Linked DNA regions of Astyanax mexicanus. The protein of the gene in region 3 interacts with the protein of the main gene of each other region in a pairwise test. Links are inferred from orthologs where the notes say so. Each region holds a gene or a part of one and is shown on either strand. Other genes may lie near its edges.

Region 1 (7,179 bases), on a different chromosome or scaffold from region 3:
TGTACAGTGTGGTTAAGGTCTGGCAGACTTTTTTACTGTATTATAATATCTCTATTATAATTCTGATGGGGGAGAGGGAGGGAGGGAGAAAGAGAGAGAGAGAGAGAGAGAGAGAGAGAGAAGCATAAACTCTAGTACAAAAAAAGGCAATCTACCTTCTGAACCTGACAGTAAGTGTTTCTGTGTTATATTGCCAAATAAAACTGCTAATGCATCACCAGGCTCTGTCAACTGTGTCATTGATTCATTGTTAGCTACATTAGCAGAGCTTTTTTATTAAAAAAAGTATTGTCTGGTCGCTGGCATTTTAGAGACATTTGCAGTTGGCCAACACTTACCTTCCTAATCTCGTGCTGAATCTGCTGGTTAAATTGTGCCTTCAGGTCAGCAATCTCTTGCTGCAGCTCCTGTACCCTTGGATCAGGCTTATTTCTCTCAGCCTCTGAAGCCTGCAGACTCTTCCTCAGCATTTCACACTCCTCAGCCATCTTCTTCACCTGTTCCTCATAATCTAGTCCCCTGTCTGCAGCTTGCATGGTTTCCACCAAGGTTTCTCTAGCATCCTCCAGTTTAAGTTCAGCATCTTGTCTTAGACTTCTTTCCTCTTGCAGTAATTTCTGAAGCTCACGGAGCATGTGGGCATGATCACCTTGCTCCTGCTCCCGCTCGTGCTGCTGTGTGATTACGCGAGCCTTGCTCTCTGCAAGCTGCTCCTGCAAAGCCTGAAGCTCATTCTGGTACTGCTTGTGTGCCTCCTCCATCTTCCCCTGCATCTCCTCAAGGTCTTGCTTCATCTTCCGCTTGTCTGCTTGGAAGGAAGCCTCCATTCGAGACTTTTCCTGAGTGACCGTGGCCAAAGAGTTGGTCAAAGTAGACAGCTGAGACTTGAGTTGAATCACCCGGCGATCTACTTCAGCAACTGCTGAAGCAACGGGCTGATCTACACCTGCACTGCTGCCGGAACTGACGCCACTCTCCGAGCCACTCTGAGTGTCTTCTGACTGCTGGATCACTGATCCTTCTCCAAGGCCACTCTGATCTTCCTCTAAAGGGTCACCCTTAGTGCTGCTGCTGGTCACACTGGTAGCCGTGTCAACAGAAGCTGCTGTGTCCACACTGTCCTCACTGTGAATGGAACAGTGGTCATCTACAAGGTCAGTAGGTGGTGGGCATTCTGCTTTGCCAGTGCATCCACTGGAAGGTGGGTCATGGCTGTGTAGGGTTAAATCCACCTCCTGGGACACAGTGAGGACGTTCAGACTAGCTTCCAAAGCTTCCTTCTCTTTCAGCAAACTTTTATACGCTCTGACAACATCTTTTAAACGGGTCTGATATTGGATAAGTTGCTTCTTCTGGGCCTCAATTGTGTCAAGCAGGTCTTTCTTGCTTGGGCCTCCACCAAAGCTCATTCCAAACTTTTCCATTGTGAGGACACACTTAAAGTGCTTTCATAGTAAGAGCTGCAAAATATGTAAACCTGCAGAAGTTTAAAACAGAGGGAGAATGTGTCAGTAAATGCAATATTGGCTTGTTGGTTAAATGTTTAGTTACTACTATAATGAATGCTCCAAGTTAGTGATTATAAAACCTTCACATTTCATCATATTTTGGATATGTTATATGAACATATAACATATAATTGTTCTCTTCTCTTAACCCATTTAATTTAGATTTTTTTTTCGCCGGACATAAAAATATCCAAATCCAAAATAAGTTTTATGACAGGTCACAAATGTGACTTTGCAGCATACATTTTACATTTACCTTCTATGTACTTATCAAATAATATACATAACCCAGGCTAGTTATCACTATTTTGGAACAGAGCTCAAACAAAAAAATTACCATTAAATGTATGATGCCCATCATCCACTTTTATCTAATAATAGTGTACCTGGTATGTATCCGGAATAAATAAAGTATATATTTTTCTGTTTAACTACTTTATCTGTAAACTTTATTTGATTGTGCCGATTCAGTACTGTGATATATTTGTATATATACTTTAACAAAATAATTATTTTCCTTTTTCTAGTAAAGTAGGCAATTTGGAGAAGTTGTGACAGCGGTGACATTTAGTATTACAAGTGACAATACTTATAAAATATACTTAAGCCTTATTATAAAAGCACAAATTTGTTTTATTATACAATTTTTTAATAAATATATTAATTTTATCCTGGGACAACAATAATTGTTATAGTATGTAACTGATAAGCATAGAGATCATATTACAATAATAATTTAGGCACATTTCAATTTGTCTTTAGTGTTTAATTGTGCAGCTTAGACAATTATACTTCAATTGTATTAGGCAGAACTATGCAGAACTATGAATGTGTTTAAGTATGTATACTTAGATTCACTGTGTTATCCCATCAGCCACTATTATTCCAAATACATATATCATTACTCAATACAGCCATTACTTTGCATATTGCAATCAGGGTTTAAACAGCTCTGGTTATGTGCCTGTTTATATCTGTCCAGTCTCATTTATTTTTACTTAAGTTCTGACCATAGTGCAGCCCATACTTATACAATATTTCAATGTCAGCTACTGATTTACTGATTAAATCCAGCAATGACGAACTGAACTAGGTAAAACAGTAAACACTACAGCACATGGCACCCAAAAACCAAACACTGTGGAACTGCTTTAAAATTACTCCAGAGGCTGCATCACTATCACACACTAATCTGCGAATTACAGGAAAGCATAAACTACAACATCTTATAACTGTGGTTTCTACTACTGAAGTCAATACTGTTTTATTAAATCTTAATCCTGAGGTAACTTAGATAGGTTAGGTTAGTTAGGTTAACCTAACGTTAGGTCAGTTACTGCAAGCGGACCTCCTTATCATAACAATTAGCCCGCGAGCTAATCCAAACGGCTAACAAACAAACCCAGCAGAAACCCGGCGACCCCACTAAAGCAGCCGCTCTTTAAACATGTGATTTTTTTGTACTTTACTTAAACTGATTAAATACCTGAGATTTTGCATAAAGCGCGAAAGTCTCTCAGCTACGTGTCAAAATAACATTCCGTCTCTTCCTGCTTCTCTCCCACTCACAGGAAGTGACGTCCTGAAAACGCCTGGTGGCCTGTGACCCTATACGTAAAAAAAAAAAAAAAAAAATATATATATATATATATATATATATATATATATATATATATAAAATAATTAATTAAAACGGTAAATAAATATTTTAAATGAGAATTATTTCATTTAATTATTTATGTATTTATTTAAATATGAAAACGAAGCATAAATAATTAATATATATATATATATATATATATATATATATATATATATATATATATATATATATATATATATATATATATATTAATTCATTTATTTATATAATATTGTCGCAAATAACCCTCCATAGATTGGACAGTGAAGGAATGTAGTCGGAAAAATAAGTTATAATATATATACTTATATGCCGCCTAGCCTACCTAATGGCGAAGCAGCTGGTGTTATGGTAAATTCAGTTCCCCCTTTTCCCCCTTCACTGCGCATGTTGAAATCATGATGTAGCGCAGCTCTGATAGGTTCCATAGACCACTGTCATTATTTTTGTAGGCGGTGCCATGTTGTTTATGTCCATATTTGGGGTTCCGTGTCTAAGCGGTTCATGTGAATGGCGAATTTGAATAGGCTTTTTAAAAACTGGCCTCTATCACATTCTATCACATTCCTAATTATCACTGGATCCTCTTAATTTCGAGATCATTTAAGGGTTCGCGTTTACTTGAAGTTTGGTGGGCGTGAGATTTGGAGGGGGTGGGGGTTGTTTGGTGGTGGGGGTGCACACAGTTCCTCCTCAGTTGTTCAACTGGGGGGGAATACCATGTGTGGTGTGTAAGAGTGTTAACTTGCTGAGGTGGGTGTGTCACACGCTCAAAGCATGAGATTTGAGAACACTGTTAACAGCAGCTCAGATCAGAGACCAGTTAAATGCCACACAGAGTTCTAGCAGAAGACCCATCTCTAGAACAACTGATAAAAGGGAGACTGCGCAAAGCAGGCCTTCATGGTCAAATAGCTGCTAGGAAACCACTGCTAAGAAGAGGCAACAAGCAGAAGAGATTTGTTTGGGCACAAGGAATGGACATTAGTCCAGTGGAAATCTGTGCTTTGGTCTGACGAGTCCAAATTTGAGATCTTTGGTTCCAACCGCTGTGTCTTTGTGAGACGCAGAAAAGGTGAATGGATGGATTCCACATGCCTGGTTCCCACTGTGAAGCATGGAGGAGGGGCTATGGTGGTGTGGGGGTGTTTTGCTGGTGACACTGTTGGGGATTTATTAAAAATTGAAGACACACTGAACCAGCATGGCTACCACGGCATCCTGCAGCAACATGCCATCCCATATAATTTGCATTTAGTTGGACGATCGTTTATTTTTCAACAGGACAACGACCACAAACACACCTTCAGGCTGTGTAAGGGCTACTTGACCAAGAAGGAGAGTGATGGAGTGCTGCGACAGATGACCTGGCCTCCACAGTCACCGGACCTGAACCCAGTCGAGATGGTTTGGGGTGAGCTGGACCGCAGAGTGAAGGCAAAGGAGCCAACAAGTGCTAAACACCTCTGGGAACTCCTTCAAGACTGTTGGAAATTTTTTTTAGATGACTACCTCTTGAAGCTCATTGAGAGAATGCCAAGAGTGCAAAGCAGTAATCAGATCAAAGGGTGGCTATTTTTCCAGAAACTAGAATATAAAACATGTTTTCAGTTATTTCTCCTTTTTTTGTTAAGTACAAAACTCCACATGTGTTCATTCTTAGTTTTGATGCCTTCAGTGAGAAATAGTAGATAGTGTAAAGTATAATAGACAGTGTAAATAGTCGTGAAAATAAAGAAAACGCATTGAATGAGAAGGTGTGTCCAAACTTTTGGCCTGTACTGTACATCACCTCTTTACAGAAACATAATTACATTTCTTAGTTAGGTAGTTAAGCACACCATGCTACACCAATAAGAGGATCTGGACAAGACTTCTAATACATTAACATAAATAGGATTTGGACTCACAATACAAAAAACATATAGTTAGAGAGTGGGGACAGGTAACAAATGCTATTTCTTCAGTGTTCTAAGTAGGTTATTAATGTTTTATTATTAAGTTATTTTGTGTGCACATTTATACATGTAATTTCCTGGGGACAGAAATGGCACCGATTCGGCGGAATATGCCTTAAAGTGAGTGTAAAGTGAGTGAGTGAGTAAGTGCACTACAGAGGGAACAGACAGTCGTTTGGGACTGGGCCTCACTGAAGACGCGCTGACGTCATTTCTTCCGCGTTGGCCTGGCCGTGGACGGAGGTCAGCTGCAGAGACAGAGAGCGGCTCCACTGCTGGAAACACCGGCTGATTTATTCTGTTATCAGCTCTACATCTCTCTGATCTCCTGACCATGGGAATCACCATATCCTCCCTGTTCTCTAAGCTCTTCGGGAAGAAGCAGATGAGGATACTGATGGGTGAGCGAACGGCTGTCTGTCTGTCTGTCTGTCTGTCAGAGCTCTCGGCTAATGAAAGCGAGACCCTCTGATCATCACAGCCCTTTTTACACATTAACACCATTAACACATACGAGCACACCGCTAATGCTTTACTCACAGCCTGATCAGCACATAGTCTCTTCTCCTTTACTATCAGTCAGACCGACCCTGAGCAGCAGGTCAGCTGTAGAGCTGTAGATCTGACCTGCGGACAGTTTAAGTGTCTCCTCCTGTTGTTTTATTGATGCCTAAAGTAATTTAATACTCGATCCTCAGGTGGGTCGATTTACCTTTACTCGCTCCCTGAGCACAGCCTGTTCTTTCTGATTTAATTAAATTGTTTAAATGTAAATACCTTTACTCATACGCTCCTGAATATTCATGAGATAATTATACACATCTACCCTTTTATTCCCGTCTATTCATTTAGTTCCTTGCTTATTTTCGGGATTAATTTAACCTAAAGAGCCCATGGTAATTAAAAGCTCCTTACAGCACTCTGTCCTCACTCAGAAACTCCTTCACTGATATAAACTGAACATAGCCCACTGATCATCAAAATTTGAAATCCAAATATGCAAACTATACTTGGATCAACAAATAGAAAGGCTGCAAATGCTGTAAATATTTGCCACCATTTCTTATGCCCCGGTATATCATAAGTTACACTGCCTGGACAAAAAATAGTCTCCACCTGCATTTAACTAAGTAAATGATGGGGGTTGCTGCAGTTGGGGGATGGGGTGTAGTAATGTAGTAACTAGGGATATACTAATAAGGGAACTCATGCAGATTATAAAATATGTCCACAGGTGTTTTTCTAATTAACTCAGATGTTGCCAATAAACCTATCAGAAGCTTCCAAAGTCATTATATGATCATATGGGCTGTGCCAAATTGTTCAGTCATAGTAATCTTAGCGTATGTAAACTTTTGACTAATAAAATGCGCACAAAATGATGTCGCTCTCATTATTCTGGCATTTGGAAAATATAATTTAGGAATTCTAATTGACCTAAAATGGGAAAGGTTTATTCTGATGTCATGTTAGACAATGAGGAAAAACAAGGTTAACCTCTTTTAAAGCCAGCTTTTTTGTCAATTTTCTGCCTGATATTACATGCCTAAATATTAAGGCTACCTATTCAAGCATTACATAAAAAGGGTTCATATTTGATAGGAAACATTACTGAAAATCTGAGAAAATATTTATTAAATATTTATTTAAATCTGCAACTGTAGATAATAAAACATAAAGTGAATAAAAATTATAGTGGATAAAAATCACAAAAATGGCACTTTCCTAAGCTTCGTTTTAAAATCTGTATTTTTGTGAATACAAATATTTTAATGTGCTTCAGAACTTTAATTTTGTTACGGTTGTCTAGTTTTTATGTCTATTTTCAAACATTTTTAAAACAAATTATTAGGTGGAGTAGAGGGTGAACTGGCAGCATCTCCTGTAGGAGAGTCTCTAAAGGCCTCAAATTCTTCAGAATGTAAATGGCTTATTTTGCTACAGAGAAAAAGGGTTTTATATAACCTACACATAAGTTCAGCAACCCCTCTGTTAGATGTAAGATTGTTGGTTGGTTTTATGATGGTTTAGATAATTCACAATTCAAGCAAACGCCAAAAACAACTTTAAA
Region 2 (7,506 bases), on a different chromosome or scaffold from region 3:
TTTGAGGAGGCTTCTGCTCTGGCTTCCCTTTGAAATAATTAACCAGCCCCCCCCAAACGCTCTTAATGGAGTTTATGTGTCTCTGACTAGTCCTCATGTCCTGCTCCATATTATCCACCATTCTTTCCGTCCTCTTTAATACCTCACCTTGACGAATCAACTCCTGAGAACAGAGAGACGGCGTGATTAAAAAAAAAAAAAAAAAACGTGACGAGCCATAAAACACTTCTGAGGCAAGACCTCCAACAATGAGCCCTGCCTGTGCTCCTACAGCAGGTCCAACTCAAATAACAGAAATATACTTAAAACACTTCCTGAATCAGAAGAATCTGCCCCTTTGATTCCATCCAACAAAATTGCTGATCCGAACAACCAATGATTTATAAAGAAAAATCATTAAAAACGTTTCATACCACTGTATCTGTATTAATTGTTTATAAAAGTTTTATTCTATATACTCTTGGTGTGAATAAGTGTAAATACCAGCAATATACTAGTGCGAATCACATCAACAAGTTTTGCACTAATAAATGCAAGTATTAGATGATTCTGTTACAGATTCTGCTAAAACAATCAAAAATACTGTATACAAGCAGATTAAGGCCAAACACTGTTTTAAATATTTCTAAACCTGTGTCACATGATTTACTAAGCAGGAATAATGCAAATAGCCAGGATGTGTGTGTGTGTGCTTTTTTCACTTGGTGAATCTTCACAAGATATACGCAGAAAAAATAAAAAAAAAATACTTTTCAGATTATCTCTCCAAATTTGCTCTGCGTTACATGAGAATTGAAAAAATTCCCTTAGACCCCCGAGGTTTAAGAACATCTCACCTCTGCTGTCTCTGTCCCAATCTTTTCTGATTCATAGATGAGGCCGAGAGAGCGATAGCTACTGTCCACCGCCGACTTCGCCGTTTGCATGACCTGCTGCTCCAGCTGCCGCTGCCGCCTCTCCGCAGGACTCAGCTTACTCTCCTCTTCTTCCTCATCGTCAAAATTAAAGCCCCTCCTCGGCCCTGCTGGTTCCTCTTCATCATCATCGGCAAATGGATTGTGGGATTTAGGATACGCCGCCATCCTCCGACCACAGCGGTGTTCTGTAAGCGACTGTGCAAGAAAAAAAAAAGTTTTCCTCGGCTGCACACTAATAACATGTTCTTTCACATCAGTTACCCTGTAAACAGCGTCACCCACAAAGCAGATAACCTTAACCCTCCGTTCTGAAACAGTTCACAGGGGTCGTGAGGGTGATTCTACTTAAGGGCTGTTTCTCTGCAAAATGTACAGACAATCATATCTAGACATTATAAAGAGTTTTCCTTTAACTGAATCAGACCCACTCATTAGACACTCTATACTTTATACATCTTAGCACAAACTGATTCAGATACATTAATGTAGGCTGTGGGCTTGCACATCCAAATTTGTTTAAAAATGTAGTTCTGTTTAGAATGTAGAATTGGAAGCAGTAATGTAAGAGATGATGTGCAAAAATGTCTATATGTCTAGAATATATATTTTTATCAGATTTTATCAGTTTGTCTCTTCCCATACAAACTGACAGAAGACTGGTCTTTCATCATTGAAAATAAGCACCCAGTCGTGTTGCAAAGATTTGTGAAATATTTCCAAAATACTTCCGTTCATTAAAAAGGTTAAGAACCCCTGCCATAAACCCAAAGCCTGTCCAACAGGAGAAGATGTAAAACATTTATTTTGAACAGACATTATTTAACAGGACTGGGACTGAAGACAGGATAAACCAGCTTCCTTCCTCTGCAGGGTGTAGTTGGCGATGTCAGCACTGTATACAGGTTTTAAAACATCCTGTTTCGTGAAAAATCTGTTGTTGCATCATAAAGAAAAAATGAATAAAGCTATGGTGGATAATCATTACAGTTGGCACACCAACACAACATTAATCAATTCTAGCTGATTGTTCTCCTCTAAATGTCCCGTTAGATAGTTAGTCTAGTGTTGTGATCAACTCAAAATATGCCTCAGTTTACTGGTTAGTCACTGGTTAGAAGTTGATGAGTTGTACATTTTCAAAGGACAAAACTTAAATAAAACAAGCACACCAATCTTGGATTCTGATGCATGTTTTTTATAACACCAGTATGATGTAAGCTAATCACAAATAATGTTGATGATTCATAGATTACACACACAGTGTACTTTATGGAATAATTAAGCATCTGGCCTTCTGTCACAAATCCTTTAATAAAGACTAAATTTATCAGTTAAATATAATATCAGCTGCTTATTATAGATAGCGTTATATACTGGATTTTTAGCTAGTTTAATAAAGCCTCATTAACTAGAACATCTTAGTAAAACGTGTAATTTAGTTAATAATAATCACGTGAATTACACGGAATGTAACGTTAGCTAGCGTTAGCTAACAGCTTAGCCTCGTGTCTGTTCGCTTATTATAACATTAAGTAACTTTTCTTACCGCCGGAAAATAAAAACAGCGATTATATTCTGCTGACTCAGTTAATGTGTAGCTTGAAACACATTAAAAGTGCTGTCATGAAATGAAAACAGCTAAAAGCCGCGGTTAGATATCAGCTATTAATAGCTCTTCTCTGGCAAATTAGCGTTAGCATTAGCTTAGCACCGCTGAGTTAACTCCGCTAACGCTCCCTAATCTAATCTAATGTAGATACTGTAGATGATGACGGGTTCTAGTAAATTAACCGCATGTTCAGTGACAGGCAGGTAGTTACAATATGATTATTTATCCATGTTAATATAAATAAATCACAAAAACGATCAATTCCAGACAACAGTAATCCAACAGCTGAATATCTGTGGGTTTAAATAACAGCTGTTAGCTTGCTATGCTAACCCTGTTAGCGAGGCTATGTTAGGTTACTGAAGTTACACCGAATAAACTAAACTAAATTTAAAAAACTCACCGATATAACAGAATAATGTCCTCCTGTAACTCAGCGATGCTGCTGCTGCTGCGGGTGTAACGGAGTTCGGCGCGCCCCCACTGCGCTGTCCCGCTCACTGAGGGGTGCTGTATCCCGCTGTGTTCCCAGGAGGATCAGGTGACCCTAAACTTCCTCTTTCTGACTCGCCGTAATGACGTCACACCCGCGCCACAAACGCTCGGGTACTGTGATGATAATAATAATAATAATAATAATAATAATAATAATAATAATAATAATAATAATAATAATAATAATAAAAGTCTATTTTAATTATATGATGTTTTATGACAGCTGGTATTTAATTTGATGCATTGCTGCCACCTTCAGTATTTCCACATGTATCACTAAACATATTAAAAGTTAGAAGTTGAGAGGTGTGTAGTGATGAACTCTGAAGCTCTGAAATTTCACGGTACCACAGTGCTGGAGTTCACGGAGCTCCTGAGAGAGACCCGTTCTTTGCAGTGAAGGTGTATGGAAATAATTATTATATCACGTCATCATTTCAGACGCAGTGTAATGTAGAGAAAACACACAGTCTGTTTCCATATAATAATTTATTTAAACATCTCAGGCTGTATCCATCCAAAAACAGTGCAGGATAGAAAAGATTCAGAAAAATGACAAACATGTAAACGAGTGTACAAATATTAAAATCACTTCACAATCTGTTCAACACTGAGGCACATACTGTAAACAAGCTGTGATTGGTTAAATAGGACCTCGGGCTGATCTGGTTCTGATTGGTGTGTATCTAACAAATTTTCACAGGCTGAAATAGTCTGTAATTCTCACCCAGCAGGGCAGGATGGAGTATTTCTAAAACCTTAAAAAAATTTATATGATTTTATTAATCACTGATTTAAAGACCTTCAGTCTTGGTGAACAATGGTTCACAACTGAACACAAACTTAGTGCAGTTAGCAAGTTACAAAGCCATCAGTCAGATATGATGCACAGTATTTTATAGACATATCAATGTACATATTTTTATATTTAAATTAATGTAAATCTCTTATTAATTATATTTAGTGCTCGTATTTTAGAAAAAGCAATTTCAATCTCGAAAGAGAAGCAAGAAACTGGGATTTCTTACAGCAAGACTCAAATGCCAGGTGTCATCATAGCAAGTGCACAGAAAACAGCATTCAGTGATCAATCGTATGTTTTGAGACTTTAAAGAGATGAAAGCTACAAACTCTTGATAAGTCTGTAATGTTGAGGCATAATAAACTTCAGTGGGTAGCACTTTATTTCACAGTATGTGAGTAATTACTATTTAATAGGTAAATAGTAAGAAGCAACGCAATGGTAACTACTAGTACTGGCAACTGATGCTCTGTGATTAATTAATATTTCTTAATCATTTTCATCACTTTTATTATTATTATATTTTATATTTTACATATTATATTTTAGCACAAATCTCTTCTTATATATTTTCTGCACTGGCGTTTTTTAAGTCAAAAAATGACCGATTAGCCCATTAGCTAACGGGCAATGCTAACTTTTCCGAGCTGAATTAATGGCTCATGTTTGATAACAGATAAATGGAGCTGTGCTGGTTTTGGGGTTTGATAACAGATTAAATAGTAACTGTTCTCTTATTGTCTTATTCAGAATGTAGATACAGTATATACTAGTGAATTTGAATATTTAACGTGTATGAAGCATGTGTCCTAAAACCTGGCAGCTGGTAGTTTTACTAGTAGTTACCACTGCCTTACTAAAGTACCGTAAAATCACTAGTATTGTTACCTTTAACTTATTTACATATTACATACTAGTCACTTACCATACTGTAGAATAAAGTGCTGCCCTTTACTGCGCTGTTTTTCTCACACACTGAAGCCATGCAGTTAACAGTACATCAGCAGGGCAGCGCGGTTTCAACCAATAACCATTTTAACCATTTCTCTCTACAAGTCTACATGAGGCACATTTTATTTTTTTTATGTAAAAAGTTGTCAAAATGAAAAAAAAAAAAGAATATCTGAAAGGGAGAAATGGTTCATATATGGATATTCATTTGAAGAACTCAATAAAAGATTAAAAACTTGCAAGTGCATTACAGGCGTATAAAGTGCAGAGAGTACTGAACAAACAGGCAATCAAAATTCCACAACAAGGGAGGCAAACATGTTAAAACTAGGGGTGGGATCACAGGGCATCTCACGATACAATATCACGATACACTGCCCACAATAACGATAAGATCACGATACTGTGATTCTGTGATAGTCGATAAATCACAACACAATTCTATGATCTTTCACATCGTCTGTGTTTCTGAAGAGAATAAAATACTCCTAAATAATCAAATACCAGGAATTATAGATTTATTGGTTCAGTTTTACACAATTTAGCAACCGATATTCTTCACTGAAGGTTTTGTTAACCCTATTCATTAGATTATAGCGCCACCATGTGGAATGAAGCAGTAACTTTAGTAACTCCTCTAATTGAGGGCGGGGCTTAGGGGGTTTAGAGCGCCTGTTTCAATAAATAAAAAAAAAAACATATTTGATGAATAATGTATCGCAAACAAAACAATAGAATATATTGATTTTGATATTTTGTCCCACCCCTATTTAACACTGTGCATTAACACTCTATGTGCGCACACACACACACACACACACACACAGATGTAACAGTTCTTCCATAAAACATACATGAGATTTTAGTAAGGGTCCAGCTGTAACTGTACTGTCGGCTGTCAGCTCAGTACGGGATTTGGTTCTGGTAATACTGGATCATATCATAGGTTTTACTCCTAAAAAAAACAAGAATAAAACACATTATACTGTGTTTGTACTGCTGTACATCATTCTTCTCATTTTCAGGTTCAGTTCTTGTGAGAGAGAGTAGCACAACTCCATTAAATCAGACGGGTTAGTTTGCTCCCTCTTGATGTGGTTCGTTTTGACAGGTGTGAAAACAGTAATGGCGCTCACAGTTTTGTGATGACTCTGTAATGTGCTTTGAAAATGTTTAATAAAGTTTATTTTAAAAAGAATACCACTCCGGTGTGGATCAATACAGTCGAACCGAGACCCGTGAGAGGAGGTAGTCTTGGTCCGGTTCTAAACAGTTTGTTTGTGGTGGGAATGTGATTTAGCTTTGATCTTGTTTAAGCTGAACGGCTGTTTAAGTGCAGTTTAACCTGATATATTATGCAGATAATTATTACAGCTATTAACTAACACTGTCTCTGCTGCTCCTCAGTGATAAGAAGTTTTCACACTGAACTCCATTTTCTGATGCGACTGCTGAAGATTTACGCAATAAATAAAAACAAAAGTCTGCGTCCTGTCTCACTGTAATCAAACAATTAGCAGAGACATCATCACATGAATTTCCGTTTTCCATGTGTGAAACCAAATCAAACCAAACCAAACCAACTTTCAAACTAAACGACCTTCTTAACTAACTTTAAGTGTAAAAAAAAACCTGTGTGAGACCGACCTGCTGCTGAGAAAGCAGTTCTGGATGACTTTAATCATGAAGGCCGCTGCTTCCTTCTCACTCATGCTGGGGTTAAATCGCTGCCTGTAAGCAAACACACACAAACATGGGTTTCTTTAATAATTAATTTCTGATTTTACCCTCTTTTCTCCAATTACACAATCTCCAGTCATATGAACTTCCCCTCTGCCTCCTCAGACTCCACCTCTTTTTTCCCCGGCTGCTGATGTCTGGCAGCTGGATTCTGCACTGGAACAGTGACCCTCAGGTCTGACAGTGCATTTATCCACTACACCAACCGGAGCCCCCTCACAAACGACTTTTCCTTAAACACAAATACACTAAGTTGTTGTTTATGTGCAGTAGATTAATTTACTTCAGCAGTTTGATGGTTTGACCACGGAAACACGGAAGACCGGTGTCTAACATGAGCGTCACCAAGGAGACCACAGCATCCATATACGGCCTGTAGAGAAACACACAGCGTTTCAGCACAAATTCACTCATTATAAACAAGCAAACAAGTAAACACAGCGTGTACATCTCTCACCTGACGGCCAGGTAGCCCCGCACACACATCTCCATAAACCATTTGAAGGGTGTGGCTTCCATCTTTCCTCCCATGATCATCACCATCTCATCAGTCAGCTTAATGTCCGGCTCCCAGCCCAGGTTTCCTCCAGGAGAACTCTCAAACATGAAGCCAAAGTCTGGAGAACACACGCACGCACGCACACACACACACGGTCAGGATGATCACAGACAGTTGGCTGTGGAATATTTAGCATTTAAATTTTATGACTGGACTTGTTGCACAGGTGCTGCATCCTATTCTTTCACTAGTGTTTGTAGAAGCTGCAGGAGGAGCTGCTGATTTTATTAAACACCTGTGGAGACGGAGGAGATTCAGGAACACCTGAGATCGGTGATTTGTACGGGTGAGTGAATAATTTTGGTGAATATAGTGTGATATAATAGTTTTGGTGAATATAGTGTGATATAATAGTTTTGGTGAATATAGTGTGATATAATAGTTTTGGTGAATATAGTGTGGTATATTTAGCTGCACTAAGTGGAGAGGAGAG
Region 3 (7,785 bases):
TTTGCCATTGAAACCTATGGGGATGGGTGGGGTTACACAGCTTTCTGCAACTGAACAGCAGGGGGCGCCCGACCTGTGGTGGCTTCACTTTTGAGAGACGATGCTCTGTCCAGCTATACACAGTCTATGTAAAGCCGTAGTCCATGAAGTTCTTTAGTTTTCTTTCTAAACTGCAGTGTGAAACCAAAACTAATCGGACCAAGTTCATATGATGTAATAAGCATATAAACTTTGGTTCAGACTGTCCACAGTGATGTTATTTTGGTTTGACGTGTTATACTTTCAACAAAACCTATTATGTTTATTCTAATTACAACATTTTCTGAAATCTGATTGGCTGAGCCAAGTCAAGAATCCAAACTAACTGATAGCATTCTGAAATTGAGTAGGCCAATTAAAAAGGTCAATACGCTGTTTATAGAATAATCTTTGAGCTATACTTGGTAAGTGTAGCTTACTGTTAGCTTACTGCCAGGGAATGGCTTGAGCAGTATATAGACCCCCAGCCTTGAGCTGTGGAGCAGTAAAACTGTGTTCTCTGGAATAATGGTGCTCCATCTAATACATACTACTGGAGATGAGGTGTGTTTCCTTTAATTAAGTTTAAGCTACTGTCACATTTTGATCATAAAACAATGTTATTCATAAAAACACTGTTTTTAAACATGGACCTTCTTCTTTCTTTAGCTTGGGAGAACGTACCCAATTGTCATCATCTCCCAAAAAACAAAGCAGCAAAGTAAGTGTAAAATAAACAATATTTTGGCACTTAATTTAAGCCGTGTTTAAAACCGTTCTTCTTCATAACATAACCCCTGGTCTCTCTTCCTCCTCAGAACATTCACAAAGAAGGCTCGCCACGTAAAAAAGGCAGTCCGCCTGTATGATTTTCTCCTGTCTGAGCGTGAAGATACTCTTCGTGGTCTCACAGATGAGCTGTCAGGAGTAGCTGATAACTTGAACAAGGTGTATAAAGGTGCAAGGATTGCTGGCATTACTGGTGGGGCAGCAGGGGCAGCTGGAGTGGCAGCTGCTGTAGGGGGCATATTACTTGCCCCACTGACTTTGGGTGCTTCATTAGCAGTGACCGCAGTTGGGGTTGGTGTGGCTGCTGCTGGAGGGGTCACAGGAGCCTCCGCCGCAATCACCAACAAGGTCAACAGCGACAATGACAGAAAGAAGGTGGAGAAAATCCTTCAAGACTTCACCACTGAGATAGAGGATATTGAGAACTGTGTGATGTTCATCAGGTCAGGGATCAAGTACCTAAACAGTCACAACCTGTCTGAGTTGCACGGGGTGGACCAAGAGGTGGTGAAGGTGGCAAAAGTGGCTGGTGTGGCTGGAAGAAATACTTTAGCCATCTGTGCTTTCAGCAAGGCCTCAGGTGTGATTCAGGGCTTTGCACTGGGCATGGACATCCACTTCACCACAAACGACAAGCAGAAGCTGAAGAAAGGGTCAGAAACCAAGTTTGCCAAGCAGATCCGTGAGGTGGCTGAGAAGATGAAAGCCAGCCTTGATGAGCTAATGAAAGTTAAAAATGATCTAAAATCTGCAGACTTGTAAAAAACAGGTTAGTTATGAACAGAAAAGCACGAAATGTGGGTTATCTGTGGATGAATACCCTAAAATCTAAGGTAATGTTTAGCCAGCATTAGTTCTCAAAAAATCAGTGACATTATGGGAGTGTTTCCCATTCCTTTTCTGGTGAGGCTTTACTGTAAATCTTACACTACTTACAATTTTCTTTTCAATTTAGTCGTTTCACCTCATCACACCTACCCTTCACACAATGGAAGTATCATTGAATGTCATTTGAAAGTTGAACACACTTGGAGGACAACCCTCTAGTCTACCTGAAGACATTTACATCAATTATGTTCACTCTCAGCCATAGGTAGATCTTGGGTTGCAATCAGTCATGAAAGCCTTATCCTACGGTCAGGTTGTGTTGATGGATAAACCTAAAGGTAAGCTCCACTTCTCCAGAGATCACAGTTCCATCATTATATAGTAGAATAATAGAGGAGTTTCCTTGAACCGCTCTTGCCAGCTATTGCATGGTGATATAAGGATTGTGTGTGAATGCTTCAGAGTGTCCCATTCTATTGTCACTGCTTTTCAATGGAAATCTTTCAAGTTGGATGCAATATTTGCATATCTGGATACTTTGACATTAAGCTTTTAATGTTAACTGGAACACTTTTTTGGAAAATCAAAATAGCGAAGCTTTCTAAACCTTTTATGTAATCAAATAAAAAAACGTTTATCAAAACACTATTGATTGTATTAGATATTTTGCAATATAATAAATACATTTAAATGAGGAAACTGTAGTCTTTTATTTGATATTTAATGTGTTGTGAGAATTAGACCCACACAGCAGAAAGGCAAGTGTTGAATTAACTCTCCAGTTTTTCTGGGCACACAGGAAAATTCCTCCTTTTTCAGAAGATCTTTGTTCAGCTCCTTTTTTTGGAATAGAGGGAGAAAACATCCTGTCCAGGTAACAATAAAGAAGCTGACTACAATGCCTTTTTTGTTTTTCCAGTATTTATCATTAATTACAACTTGAAACAATGTTATTTCTTATTACACTTACATTAAGTAAAGTGTCAGAACACCATAATCAAACACTGTACAAAATATATATTTTTTAACATTTAGTCTGAAGCAACACATTAATACACATAAAGAGGAATCTTATCCTTAACTTTAAAGAAAATTTGGTACATTTTATGTTAAGTACTTATTGCAATTGCATATTTAGCAATTAATTATATTATTTCACTTAATATTTCTTGCACTGTCTCCATATTTAGTTGAGATGAGGCTTAAGCTGTTCACCTTTTTATGGTAAAATATTAAGCCATTTTTAGAAAGTTATGAGATGCCAAAAGACAGTATTCTGATAATTATCCAGTTGGTTATGCCACTTTTTGCAAGAATGCAGGGAAGAGGTCAACATCAATGTGAAGTGATTTTTCTTGATTGACCAACATTTCTGAACCTGATTTTGTTGGCCTATTATAGAACTCACCTTGCCCAAAACATCATATTATGGGGTCAACCGTATCTATAGTGTGCATAGTATAGTATAGTATAGTGTAAAACCCAATAAGGCTATTTTATCTAAAATTGGTGAAACTGATTGATAAAAGTATAAGTAAGAGTAACTCAATTTTCAAGTTAAACTAATATTCTATATTAAATAGGTTTTAATAAGTAAGTTTAGGTTACACTAGCTTACGTTTTGTGAACAAAATAGATTTGTATTTCATTGTTTTTAATTGATCTAAGAAAAATCTGCATTTGAAAGACGACATAAAAACCAATAGAAGGAACACTCTAGCACACAGCATTAGCACCTTACCCTTACACCCTACAACAAAAGTTGATTTAACTATGTTTGAATACACAGAACCAGTCTAAATTATTCATATTAAAAGCATAAAAAATTAGGGGACTCATAAGGACCTGACCTGACCCTGACCTAAACCCAACTGAGATGGGTGATTTGGGATGAGCTGGAGCAGAGCGTGAAGGAAAAGCAGCAACTATTGTTTAGCACCTTCAGAAACTCCTTCAAGACACTGAAGGCTCTAAATCATGAAAATGCAAAGAGTGTGCAGAGCTGTCCTCAAAGCTAAATGTGGCTACTTATAGGACTCTAAAGAATAAAACATGTGTTGGTTTGTTTTTCACCTTTTTTTACAGTATAATTTGTATGTGGTCCTGGACAGCTTCAATATTAAAATTACAATGTAAAAAATCTAAAGAAAAAAAGAAAACGCATTGAATGAGAAGAGCTGTGCCCAAACTTTTGTGTCCACAAATGTTCACCTAACTCAAAATAGTTGAGTAGGCCTAATGTTTGAAAATAACCAATTTTAGACTTAATTTATTTGAGTTCAAATTAATTGTGGGTTTACAGTGTAGTTTATATGTGTATAATGATTACATGACAATAAAGCTTAATACAATAGTCAGAATTACTTTATTGTTATGCCAGGGAAAAAGGCCTAGAGGGCAGCCTTGTACCATTTCCTATTGTTGTCTGTGAGCCACTGAGGCCACGAGGCCATTAACAAAATAAATAGGACTCTTTGGGAGGAAATGTGTTTCCATTTTCTCATTTTAATGTAAAGAGTTAATTTAATAAACCGTAGCTATATAAAATCATGTGTAAGATATTAGTAATATCACTGTTTCAGTACTGATTTATTGATGTGTTGAGAATAGTTAGTTCGTAGTCTCGTGATATATACAGACGCTGCATTTACGTCATCTGTTACTGTGTGGTGTTTAAAGTGTAGTTTAGGATTTTGGGAAAGGGGTAAATTCAGAGATATTCTTATAAAAACTATATTATTTGTTTTTACAGGAGCAGGTCTTTAATGTAATTTACGTCTATTATGTTGTATTATCTCAAATAAATACTCAGTTCAAGTAAAAGTGTTTTAATTAACATGGTCAACAAAAGTCACTTTTTGTTAGAAAACCTTATGGTAATATCAGTTGTGTTGACGCTATAATATAATTTAATAGTAAAGTGTCGGAAATGAAAAAGTTGTGGTGTATTTATTATGTCGTCGCATATTCCTCCCCACAGCTCTGTTTAGGAACTATGTTTTTCCCCACGCGTCACACAACCTGGCGATCAGCTCCACCAATCAGAAAGAGATGCAGCCCGCGGAGTGATACCAGAATGTTTCGGAGGCGGAAGGTCATATGTGGGTGTTGTATGTGAGTATATAAGGTCATGTGACGCCCTACCGACGTTTTCGTTCTCTTTCCCTTCTGTAATACAACGCGTTGAGCTGAGAGCTCCCTGCTCAAAATGGCAGTGTAGCGGCTTGCAGCGGCAAAACTCGCAGCGGCGGATCCTGCAGTGCAACGGCGAATTGCACTGATTCTATTAGGCAAAATGGCGTAAGTATAATTTTGTATTTTTTAGTGATTTGAGGTGAGAGGACCGGATGACTGAAGTAGGCCGGCTAGCTTATGTCGTCGTTACCGGCAGGGGAGGAGTTGTCTTTGTTGGTGGGAGGTATAATGTTAAATGTGTCAGCTACCTAATAAAGTTATACATACAAAAATACCTACAATCGAGATTTAATTAATGTCAGGGTTGTACATTTATTAACCTGCAATGAGTCTGAACTTTACTTGGCCTTATTTACCGCCCCCGCCATTTGATACAGTTCCCGCCCTCAATATTTATTGTTAATTTTTTTAGCTGACGAACTGTAATTGTGCTTATAAAATGTACTGGGTTATTACTGTGGTATTATGTTGTTTGTGAGGGAGGTCGTGTTTAAAATGGACCAATAAAAACAAAAACACAGCTGTCCGCCTTTGACCAGACAACGTGGCACTATTCAAAATGGCGCACCAGCTTCCCTCCCTCGTGCTGGCTGTGTTGTGAAAATGGCGCGATCGCCAAGGGCACAGCCGCCATGAGGGAGGGGCATAAGGCGGGGCTTGGTGCACCGTGACCATATTAAGGAAACTTGTGACGTGTGGGCGGAGCGTTTTTGGCAGGCCTTGTGGTTGACGGGAAAGAAGAAAGACTGATTTAAATTGTCTTGGAGCAGAGTTTTCCTGTTGAAACATGAAACTGTTAAATGTTTGGAATTTACTTTGTGGGGAGGTGGTGTTTTTGTGTAGGTGGTAGGGAAGTATTTGAGTAATATTTGGCTTCTTTTCCTAATTCTATACTCATTCCATAAAAACGGGTCAGCATGAATTCAGTTTTGGACCAGTTTCAACAAAAAGTAGTGCTAATACATGATTGACTGGTTTTTATATATAGTTTAATTACAGTGCCTTGGGCGGTGTTGTGGTGACTGACTAAACGTGTTTGACCTGTATTGGGACATTTTCTTACGTGTTCACAAGAGAGCTTCATAATTACAGTGGGAACCACATAATGAGGTAGCTTGTATAAACCTGTTGTAGTTTTTTGTTTAAGTCATGTCTGAGATAGAGGTTTTACAAGAAGATTAAATGTTTACATGGTAACCTTTTTCTTTTTTTGTTTTCTGTTTTTGCCTTTTTTTTTTAGGTCCTTTGAGGCAACCACCCTCAGCTTTGCTGCCGTCGACAGCATACCAACTTTGCTCGACTCATCATCAGAACTCCTGTTCTCGTTGACTCTGTCACGACCCCTGACCAGCCACCATGTCTCTGACCTCACAGATGTGCATGGAGGACGTGGGGGCCCTGCTCTTGGGGCCCTCGACTCTGATGGCTGACCCCTTCGGGCCCCTTCTGGACGAAGATGAAGAGAGAGCTCTTTCTGAGGGGTCGTCTTCGCCCCTCTCCTTCTCTTCATACTCTGAATCTTACACCTCCTCCCCGTTCTCCCCCTTTTCGGCCCCTGCTCCTCTAGGGTGTAAAGTTGGGTCTGACCTGCTGCCGCTCCCCTGGCTGTCTGCTGGTGAGCAGATTGATGCTCATGTAAGAGCAGATCAGAAAGAAGGTAAGACTGGTTGAGCAACTTAAGCATGACACCTACATTTATGACCCATTCGTGTGAAGTGTGAAAACAGTGGTCACAAATTAAACAAGTGCATATATAAATTATATAAGTGAGAAATGGAAAAATCAGAATGCCAGAATTGCCATATGTTGTCACTAGCAGAGAATAACCCAAAAGCTTTTCTGTTGCAGGGGATGCGTTTTCTGGCATGGACTGGATGACAGAGAAGATCGACCTAAGTGACTTCGACCTGGATTCGCTCATCGGGTCCTGTGATTTAGATGAGCCCCCCAGCTCACCAGAAGAGCTGCTGGCATCCTTGGAGTCCCAAATGGATCTGGACCTGGCTCCCCTACCATTTCCCTCATCTTCACCCTCTGACCCAGAAGAGCTTGGCCTGCCTCCTCTTTCCCTTGACCTCCCACTTCCAGAGCAACCGGCAGACCCTGAGGTCCGTCCGGAGCCCATTCCCATTGAGATAAAATCAGAGCCATTGTCTCCTGCCTTCACCCTGGAACTGGGCAGTGAGGTGGACATCTCAGAGCTGGAGAAGGTGGTTTCCAAAACCAGTAGTGACCAACAGACCCCCAGCATTGTGCTGTCCCTCTCACCTGCTCACATTGTGGTTGTTCTTGCGCCCAAAGAAGAGGTGAGTGTCATGCCCAGTTCCTGTGCAGACCAGTCTGACAGTGGCATTGAATCAGTCTCTGGTTCTCCCCCTCACAACCCGAGTCCTGCACCATCCCCCAAGCCTGTTGGCACTTCCAGAACCAAGCCATACTCCAAGCCAGACCCAGAGGCAGGTGTCACAGTTGTTGGTAAAGTGAAGACAGTCACTGGGAAGTCTGTGGACAAGAAGCTGAAGAAGATGGAGCAGAATAAGACAGCAGCGACCCGCTACCGGCAGAAGAAGCGGGTAGAGCAGGAGTCCCTGAATGAAGAGTGTACTGAGTTGGAGAAGAGGAATCGTGAGCTGTCGGAAAAGGCTGACTCGATAAGTAGGGAGATCCAGTACCTAAAGGATCTTATTGAAGAGGTCCGTTCTGCCAAGAACCGCAAGAACAAGACCAAGGCTGACTCTCCCTGAGATGTAGGCCAAGATACTTTAATTAAAGATCAGCTCCATCAAAAAGTATAAAGTGTACTGAAAGTATCTTTAGTTTCTCACCCCCTCACAATTCACACACCCTCAATATTCACTGTATGTAGTTTTAACAGAATCAACTATTTTGTGTAATGTGAGCCATACAAAACTAAAATGGGCACATAGACGCACACAGAAACCTGAACAGTGGAAG

What was found.
Region 1: the proteins of atf4a (region 3) and gcc1 interact in binary tests that used the Homo sapiens proteins (3 or more experiments, as listed by UniProt). The two-hybrid records come from large-scale screens. The link is inferred for Astyanax mexicanus from reciprocal best matches to the Homo sapiens genes ATF4 and GCC1.
Region 2: the proteins of atf4a (region 3) and snap29 interact in a two-hybrid assay, tested with the Homo sapiens proteins (2 studies listed by BioGRID and IntAct). The link is inferred for Astyanax mexicanus from reciprocal best matches to the Homo sapiens genes ATF4 and SNAP29.

The regions. Positions count from the first base shown.
Region 1 is NC_064409.1:35,744,085-35,751,263, reverse strand, and holds the start of gcc1 (GRIP and coiled-coil domain-containing protein 1), read right to left. Parts: upstream 3,100-7,179; 5' UTR 2,995-3,099; intron 1,478-2,994; 5' UTR 1,425-1,477; coding exon 339-1,424; intron 1-338. Other genes in the region: ADP-ribosylation factor 4, read left to right, coding at 5,443-5,509. UniProt on the Homo sapiens protein: Probably involved in maintaining Golgi structure.
Region 2 is NC_064419.1:75,480-82,985, reverse strand, and holds the start of snap29 (synaptosomal-associated protein 29), read right to left. Parts: upstream 3,077-7,506; 5' UTR 2,930-3,076; intron 1,113-2,929; 5' UTR 1,083-1,112; coding exon 837-1,082; intron 164-836; coding exon 1-163. UniProt on the Homo sapiens protein: SNAREs, soluble N-ethylmaleimide-sensitive factor-attachment protein receptors, are essential proteins for fusion of cellular membranes.
Region 3 is NC_064412.1:31,402,529-31,410,313, forward strand, and holds the start of atf4a (cyclic AMP-dependent transcription factor ATF-4), read left to right. Parts: upstream 1-4,777; 5' UTR 4,778-4,935; intron 4,936-6,070; 5' UTR 6,071-6,186; coding exon 6,187-6,487; intron 6,488-6,678; coding exon 6,679-7,574; 3' UTR 7,575-7,785. Other genes in the region: apolipoprotein L6-like, read left to right, coding at 688-739, 837-1,569. UniProt on the Homo sapiens protein: Transcription factor that binds the cAMP response element (CRE) (consensus: 5'-GTGACGT[AC][AG]-3') and displays two biological functions, as regulator of metabolic and redox processes under normal cellular conditions, and as master transcription factor during integrated stress response (ISR).